Callithrix jacchus: one gene and its partner. The protein of the gene in region 2 interacts with the protein of the main gene of each other region in a pairwise test. Links are inferred from orthologs where the notes say so. Each region holds a gene or a part of one and is shown on either strand. Other genes may lie near its edges. The genes, in order: GRB14 and FGFR1.

What was found.
Region 1: the proteins of FGFR1 (region 2) and GRB14 interact in a two-hybrid assay, tested with the Homo sapiens proteins (2 studies listed by BioGRID, with this or other methods). The link is inferred for Callithrix jacchus from reciprocal best matches to the Homo sapiens genes FGFR1 and GRB14.

What each region holds. Positions count from the first base shown.
Region 1 is NC_133507.1:65,009,355-65,013,955, reverse strand, and holds the start of GRB14 (growth factor receptor-bound protein 14), read right to left. Parts: upstream 2,865-4,601; 5' UTR 2,694-2,864; coding exon 2,503-2,693; intron 1,271-2,502; coding exon 1,138-1,270; intron 1-1,137. UniProt on the Homo sapiens protein: Adapter protein which modulates coupling of cell surface receptor kinases with specific signaling pathways. Binds to, and suppresses signals from, the activated insulin receptor (INSR). Potent inhibitor of insulin-stimulated MAPK3 phosphorylation.
Region 2 is NC_133514.1:39,299,029-39,303,308, reverse strand, and holds the start of FGFR1 (fibroblast growth factor receptor 1), read left to right. Parts: upstream 1-1,242; 5' UTR 1,243-1,902; exon of another isoform or gene 1,903-2,217; intron 2,218-2,494; exon of another isoform or gene 2,495-2,655; intron 2,656-4,280. UniProt on the Homo sapiens protein: Tyrosine-protein kinase that acts as a cell-surface receptor for fibroblast growth factors and plays an essential role in the regulation of embryonic development, cell proliferation, differentiation and migration.

The DNA of each region.
Region 1 (4,601 bases), on a different chromosome or scaffold from region 2:
TCTTACCCAAAAACATGATTATCAAGTGACTTCAAACCCCTCCCCCACAAAGTATATACACAGGGCTTCTATCAAACATATTTCCTGCTGTTTCTATTATTGCTGTATATGATCAAGAATTCACCTGCTTTCTAAGGTATTTCCTCCATTCCTAAAAGTATAAACACACGTAGTCGAACCCATCAGAGGTAATAAAGGTGCAGAAAGAAGAAAGAGAATAATAGATGTGGTAAAATGGCCAACTGCCTTGTCCTCTCTGTTCATTATCCTTCTCTCACTGCAAGTATCTAGCTATTTAAATTTATTGTTTCCACCCTTGTAAGAACAAGTTGCATTTCATCTAGTGAGACTTCTCTTTGTTTTGGTCAAAACTGGGAGAACGTATATGATAAGAGATAAATTATTCTACGAGACACTGAATATTTTTCCCCTCAAAATGTATAGCCATGATGTATTTTCTGTTAGTTGCTTGGTCCTTAAAATCTAATTTGCTTAAGTCAGTCCCAAACTAGAAACTTAAAAGAAGAAAATCATAAAAATACAGTCTTCTAATTATCAATTACAAGTAGTCTGTCTTCTGTAGCCAGAGCCTCCAAAGTGAGAAATCCACTGAAATGAAGACACATTGACCCTAAACTCCAAGTACTTTTTGCCATAGTATCACTAAATCACTTTCCTTTAGTAAATGAGGTTGGCTTTGGTTAAAAATGTGAAAAATTAAAGAAAGTATTAAAGGAAGCAGTCAGTCTGTTTCTCACATCATTACCACTGCCTGCCCAGCTCCAACCTCTGCCCAATTCCTGGCTTAAAAATGATCTCATCTCCTACCTATCTGGTGAACAACAATTGCTCCCAACCACTGTAATTTATATATATATATATATATATATATATATACATAATCTCTTTTAATCCATCCCAGGACCCTTGGAGGTAGGTTTTAACATTCCCATTATACACCTTAAAAAAATAAGGCCCAAAATGAAAATAATGCCAAAGGACTATGTCAGTCAACAGAGTTGTTTAACAGAGCCCATTCTAATTTTTTGTTGATACTGTAAATTGTGGAAAATCTTAAAGACTGGATGGATTCAGAACTCCTAAGATTTTTGAATTTTAAAATTTAAAAGTGCATACCTGTTTTTTCCTTGCATTTTCTTTGGAAAACAGGTCTGCTGACAACACAGATGTAAATGGAGAACAGCATAGCTCAGGAAAAGGGTTTGGAATAGATGGCATTTCCAGAACATCAAGATCTTTCTTTTTTCTCCTGAAGTAAGAGAACATAGGATGTAATTTACATAAAACAGAATGTAAAATATAATTGCTGTCAGGATTTAAAAGTGTGCTAAGGCCAACATGTACCACTCTGTGACAAAGCTCGTATTATATAAAGTATACAGAAAAGGTCTGTGATGTACTCTCTATGGGTCAAAATACAGTATGTTAATTAGAGATGAAAAAAATCTCTTATATTTCTCTCTCTCTCTCCTTTTCTCTCTCTTTTGCCTTTAAATCACCAGGCATGGAAACTCTATCCCGTTTGATAAACTGACTATACCATTACTAATGCAAACATCACCCTGAGGAGTCAGACATTGTTAGGCTTCCACTATATTGACAAAGTCTCTAAGTTACATTTAGTGCATTCGTCCTTATGATATTTTACTAATCACTTTTGGAAGTTATCATTTATTAATTATAGCTGTGGTTCATCTCACTTCAAATTTCATTCACAATGTTGCCCACACACAGTCTGTTGACATTTCAATTGCTTATAGATATTAAACAGTGAGGCAGTGTTTTGAGGACGTAAGTTAATAGAACTTGATAGTATAAACCACTCTAGTCCACTAGAAAGTAATTTTAACTTCACTGAAGTTGGAGTGCTTTGAAAATCAGGGAAAAAAATGTAACGTTTAAATGTATGAATATAAAGGACTGCAGATTTGTGAATTTTTGTATCCTTCCCCCCCCCCCCCAAAAGTATGTGCAACTCTAAAGGCACTTAGTGGTGAATGCTATGGATTGGGAAACCTTTTAAAACCTCTATTCTTTCCTGTTGAACAGCAAGACTGCTCAAATGTCAATCCATGCATTGCTTCTACAGGGTCGCTGTAAGACTCTGTGTGGGAGGTGAATACATTTATGCTACGATTTTTTTAAACATATAAAATAAAATAGAGTTTCCTTTGTGAAAATGCAGGGCCACAAAGGAGCAGAAGGTGATCAACCTGCAGCCTGGCCTCCTAGTTTCACACCGATGGGAAGAGGCGAAAGAGATGAGAGCTCTCAATGAAACGGTGATGCTATTTATAAGGCACTGTGAGATCGCAATGTCCTGCTGGTCCGGTAGGAGCCAGCTCAAAGAGGATTGTCTTCAGAGACTTTTACAAACTTGGCCCAGCTCTGGGCACATGGCTCACCCCCTAGGACCGCCTCCTTACCCCCTCGCCGGCTGCCCAGCCAGGACACTTCCCCGCGCCCTCCAGGGCTGCCTACCTGTCTGCAGCACAGCCGCGGGTCCCGTCCGGAGGGGGCAGGAGCGTTCGCGCGTGCAGCCAGGGGGCCGGAGCCAGGTCGTGGGCGTCGCCCCTCCCCTGGGCAGCGCCACACACCTGGGCAGCGAGCGGCGAATCCCGGGCAGCCGCCCTGCCCGCGGCGCTCTGCCCATCTTGCAGGGAAGTGGTCATTGTCGCCGGCAGGGGGGCTCGGGCGTCATGGGAGACCCGACGCGTGGGGAGAACTGGATCGCGCGGCGGGAGGCGAGGTGCAGGCTAGGCAGCCCGAGCGCTCTGCAGGTGCGGTGGCCTCGCAGCCTGCGCTCGGGGCCCGGGCGGCTGAGACAAGCGGCCGAGCAGTCTGCGAGGCGGCGGCGGGGGAGGGGAGGGGGCGGACGAGGAGGGTGGGGAGAGGGGAGGAGCGGCCGGTGGGTGGGGGCCGCGGGCGGCGGGGCGAGGCGCGGAGGGGGTGGGGAGGGCGCGCGAGCGGCGGGCCAGCCCCGCGCGTGGCCCTGGGCGCTCGGGGCCGCTGGCGTCGCTCCCCGGCCGTCCGCTCCGGGACGCTAGGCAGGGACCGCCGCCGCCTCCCCAGGTGGGCCTCGGGACGCGAGGCTGAGCCCAGGGTCTGGGCCGCCCCGGCGGCGCCGGAGGCGGGGACGCAGCCGAGGGGGTGCTCCCGCTGGGCTTGCGGGTGGGAGGGGGGACCGCTGGCGGGACAGGGGTCTGCGCAGCCCTGACCGTCCCACCCTTGCATTCTTCCGCTCAGCGATCTGAGATCACCTAAGCTGTTGCTGGGCCGCCATGACAGTCCCCACCGGGCCAGGAGGCCAGGAGGCCAGGAGGCCAGGGTACCAGGGGGCTGGGTTTGCCCCAGTCCTCCCCCAACGTGCTGCTTCTTCCATCCACTCCGCAGCCAAAGACTGGGGGGCTGCAGGGGAGGGATGGGGGAGCAAGGAGTCCAATCATTATAGAAACTACCGAGATGTTGAGAATTCCCAGTAAAGCATGAGTAAACCTGAAGGTGTCTGAAATTAGAAAGACTATTAGTTTTATTGTAATGAGAGAAGCTTACACTAATGAATTCCATGGTGCCTTACGCTACCTATTCCAACCTCTCAACAGCTCCGTAAATTAGATGTTTACTTCAATTTACACAAATGAAAACTGGGGCTCAAAGCCATCGCCTGTAATCCCAGCACTTTGGGAGGCCAAGGCAGGCAGATCAGCTGGGGTCAGGAGTTCGAGACCAGGCTGGCCAACATGGCGAAACCCCGGCTCTACTAAAACTACAAAAAATAGCCGGGTGGGGTGGCTGGTGCCTATAATCCCAGCTACTGTGGAGGCTGAGGCAGGAGAATCGCTTGAACCTGGGAGGCAGAGGTCACAGTGAGCCGAGATCACACCATTGCACTCCAACCTGGGCAACAGAGTGAGACTCTGTCTCCAAAGAAAGAAAACAAAACAGTAACAACAATAACAAAAGCGTAGCACTAGTAGCTGGCGTAATCAATATTCCAACCCAGAAGTTGCGTTCTCAAAAACCCAGACTGTTTGAAATGGTAATGGCATTATTATGCTCACGCTGTGACATGCAGCAGCCCTACTCTGAAATGCTGAGTGATCCTGTTTCTGCTGTTCCAATAAGTGTGCCCGTCCCTGGGCACTCTTGAGGATTTCCAAATGTTTCACAGGGTCTTTGTTCTTTGACCAAGTTAGGTAATATCTGTCCCTGGCATCTGCTTCACCAGGTTTTCTTAATTTCAACAACCTCTGCCCAGGGAAAGGTAAATATTGCCTCCAGAAGAAAGCAGCAGCTCCCCTCCCCCATCTCAGTGCATCCTCTCCCACCGAGGCACCGACCACTAGACAACCCAGGGGTCACTAACTCCCAGCCTGCCAGGAGACCTGGGCACTCGTGAAGACAGATCTTTGAGTCAAAGTTCAGGGAATCCAAATTCTTCATTTTTCTAGTGAAAATTTAAGGCCCAGAAGTGTACCTGGGTCACAGTGGGTGTGATCTCTGGGATCCTTTATAGCAGGAGTCCCCAACCCCTGGACCCTGGACCACACCATACCAGTCCATGGACTGTGTGGAACTAG
Region 2 (4,280 bases):
GGAGTTGCGTGGGGGATCTCATTCAGTATTCAAACTCTTACAAATTTGGGGGTTGAGGTGGGTGATGGTGAGGGAACAGGCCCTGCCACTAACTTACATAGTGACATTTATTTGTGTAATATTTTTGGCACACTGATGCCTATTATTGTATTTGATTCTTATGACCATCTTGTGAAGGAGTAGCAACAGATACCCCTGTTTTGATTTTATCAGATGCATGACTTGTCCTGCATCAAACTTCATAAATGGACAGAATGGAGGAATCCTTCAGCCCTAGAGCTTCCTGCTTCCCACCCTAACAGTGGCCTCAGCCTGGGCTCACATCATAGGCCCCACGGAGCCTTGGAAAAAACATAGATTCTTGGCTCCTTCCTGGGACAGCGCGATTCCTCATGTCTGAGCAGGCCCATGAATTTGTATTTTTCAAGAGTTCTTTACAGGACCCGTGTCCATTTGGATTAGGGAACCACTAGATTATACCATTCCACGGAAGACTCAGGGGGAAGCATTTTAGCCACTTTCCCAGGTTCCATAGTATTGGAGGGTGTTCTGAGTGGGCTGTGATTAATTTCCAAACCAACCACACCTCTCCCCTCAACTCCCACTGCTTACTCTTTGCTTCCTAGACGTTCACTGCAGGCTGGAGACTTCCGGAGGCCAACAACATCGCTGAAGAATTTACAGAGTCCAGTTCCCGGTGGACCACAAAACCTAAATTATGTGGCTGGGGAAAGCTGAGATCCAAAGGAAGGGTTTGAGGAGGGGCTGACCTTCTCAAGAATAAAATCAGCTTGTATTTATTAAGTGTTAACTATGCGCCAGGCCCTCGTTGACGCCTCAACTCTATACGAAAAGCACTATTATTCCCCTTTTACAGATGGCAAAACCGAGATTAGAGCGCGAAAATCATTTCCCCAAGGCGCACAGACTCCAAAGGCCACGCTACCAGGTACAACCTCAGGGCTGCAGCGTCTCTTCACCTGGCCCCCCACGCGGCTGCTGTGTCTAGGGCCTGAAATCCCGGCGCCCTCTGGGACGTGCTCAGATGCAGCGGCGCGAGCGCCAGAGGAGACCAGGCTGCGGGAAGGGAAGGGCCGAGCGGAGGACAGCTTGGCCCGCTCCCCCTCCTCGGGGGCCGCGGCTCGGGAACTACAAGGCCCAGCAGGCAGCGGCAGAGGGCGGAGGCGGAGGAGGGACCAGCGCTGGTGGGAGTGAGAGGGCGAGCCCTCGCGCCTCGCCGGCGCACAGCGCTCGGAGCGCTCCTGCGGCCACAGGCTCGGCGGCCTCGGCGGCGGGCGGCAGGCAGCGGGAGCCGGGACGCCGGTGCAGCCGCAGGGCGCGGAGGAACCCGGGCAGTGCCAGGAGCTAGGCGGCCACGTCCGGACCGGACCGGACCGAGAGTCCGCGTAGCGCATTGCGGCGACCTCGCCTTCCCCGGCCGCGAGCGCGCCGCTGCTGGAAAAGCCGCGGAGCCCGAGGACTTTTCTCTGCTCCGAGCTCGGGGCGCCCCGCAGGACGCACGGTACCCGTGCTGCAGTCAGGCACGCCGCGGCGCCAGAGCCTCCGCGGGGCGATGGATCCTGGTCTGCAAGGAGCGTGAGGCGCCTCCGCTGCGTTCCGGAGAAGGGGGGCGCAGGGTCTGGAGACCCGGGCAGCGGACGGGAGCCCTCCCCCCGCCCCGCCTCCGGGGCACCAGCTCCGGCTCCATTGTTCCCGCTCGGGCTGGAGGCGCCGAGTACCGAGCGCTGCCGGGAGTCGAGCGCCGGCCGCGGGGCTTTCGCGACCCCGCCAGCACCCGAACAGAGCCCGGGGGCGGCGGGCCGGCGCCGGGGACGCGGGCACACGCCCTCTCGCACAAGCCACGGCAGACTCTCCCGAGGCCGAACCTCCACGCCGAGCGAGGTAAGAGCCGCGGCGCCCCCGATCCGGGGCGGACTAGCGTCCCGAGCAGCCCCAGGCGCCGGAGCCTTCCGGCTGCGCGCTTCGCCCGCCGCAGCCCAGCCGGGGCCGGCGCCTCCCTCCGCTCGCCGCCCGCCCCCTCCACCTCCCGGCTCCCTCCCCGGCAATCCGCGCCCCCCTTGGGTCTCCCCTCCCTTCCCTCCGCCCGCGTCGCCTTCTGCGCCCCCTCCCTGCGCTCGTCCCGCCGGTCTTCCCGCCGCCCAACTTTTCCGCCAACTCGCGCTCGGGAGCTGACGAGGCGGCGGCGGCGGCTACTCGGTGAGTCCCGGGAGGGACAGGGCTGGAGTGGGCGGCGAGGGGGGCGGTGTGTGTGTGTGTGTGTGTGTGTGTGTGTGTGTTGCATTCCGCTCCATCTCTTCTTAGTCCCCTTTTGGGGATTCACCCCAATTCAGCAGGTAGCTTTGGGCTCAACGCTAAAAATCCGTGACATTCCTAAGTCCTTTTCCACCCCCGGGAAAGTCTGGGGTCCGGGTGGGGGGCGAGTGGGCGGGGGGATGAAATGCGGAGGACGTGGAGAGCTAGGTTAGCTTCTCTTGGAATACGTTTTAAGGAGGTGTCGTCACCAAATGGCTGAATCTGCTTGAGCTGAAAGCGAAAAACGACTCCCCTTTCCAGAAGGGGTGATCTACTTGGACGGTCTCAGAAAGGGTCGGAAGTTTGGGGAACGGGAGGACGACCCGCGGTCGTTAAGCCGAGGTATGGGGCGGGGGCAGGGGCTGGGGCTGGGGCCGGGGCTGTTCCGTCCCAATCTGGTTCTTGGAGGTGGAGGAAGGGATGTGGGTTTTGTCCGGTGCGGTTCACTCGGCTGCGATGCGTGTGCTTGTCTAGCCCAGACCCCTCTGCGCTCCGCGTCCCCTCCCGTTATGTTTGGTGTTGGTAGAAAGGGAGGCTACGACCCACGTCGGCAGAGAAATTTGTGGACGTTGTAGATGGGGTTCATATAGAACACCCCCTGTGAGGCAGCCAGACACTTTGTGTGGTGGTGGTGGGGGAGGGAGGGTGAAGCCTGTTTCTTGTTCTGGGCCCAGAAGCTATCAGCCCGTTTGAAGAACATTTCCACGGTGCGGTTCTCCCCTAGCCCTCCCCCATCCCCATTTTCCAGATGTGGCGGCCGCATCTGGTTCCGTTTCACCCCACACGGGTACACCGCAGCCGCATTATTAACTTACCTCTTCCTCCCCTCCCCCTCCCCCAAATTAAAACTCGGATTCTTCAACTCGCCTTGACCACCTCTCTCCTCATCATTTCTGGAGACTTGGAGATGCGGCATTGAGATTCAGGGGAGAAAAGAAAGTTCCCTTGAATCCCGAGTTATTTAAGTTCCCACCAAGTTATTCGCCGCCGCTGGTGGGTGACGGCGGTCGGGGTGCTTTCTGGATTGCGCAGAAAAGAGGCATCTTGGGAGATGGGGCCAAGGTTTTAGGGGATAGCACTTGCGAACGGTTCATCCGCTAGACTAGGGGGGCTCTTTGGCCGTGCGTCTGGCCAGAAGTGGCCTTGACGATGGAAGTTTCTGGAACCAAAGCATTGCTTTCTTTCCCTTGAGTTACAGTTGGAGTTGCAGGAGCGCCTGCCCCGCCCGGAGCCCGCGGTCCCCTCTCGGCCGCCCCGCGGTGGCGTCACGCGCCCCTTCTTCCCCTCCCGGAGCGAGCCCGGTGCGCAGGGCCGGGGGGCGTGGGCGGCTGTTGCCAGAGGTGCTCTCTGTGTTTTTAAGGATTGATTTGGGCCACATCCCCGGAAGCTAAGTGGGACATTTTACCGTTTAAATAACGGCCACAGGTTTGAAAGCGGGGGTTGGATTGTCAAGTTGTGTTTGGTCATAGTCTTTGAGGCAGGAAAGCACCTTGTGGTCCAAAGTTGCAGGAGGGTGGGGAGAGTCGGGAGAGTCGGTCTCTCACCCGCTTCTTTCCAGTCTCTTTCAAATTGAAAACACTTCTCTGGTTTCCTTCTTTGGGCGGTAGTTTTGGAGGCTGTAATGAAATCGCACTTTCTCTAGACGTGGTAATTAAGGTGACTGTTTCCTCCGCAGATGTGCCCTGCCCTTTGCACCTCCGGACCAGCGCTTTTTTTGGAATACCACCTAAATGGGAAAACCTTAGCCTTGAGACTGTTGAGCAGAAAGTGGCCATTTTCCTCCCTTGGCTCGGGCTCCCGGTTTCCTCCCTGAGGCTTCTTTAAAAGCGAAGTAGCAGGGCCCTGTGGGACCCACGTTGGCCTGGGTCATCCACCGTTCTGTCAGAACCGAGGTCTAGCAGCCTCTGCCATTGCCGGCCGTCAGTCCCGATGACCTGCCTCCCTAATGACTTGTTTACATATCCTCC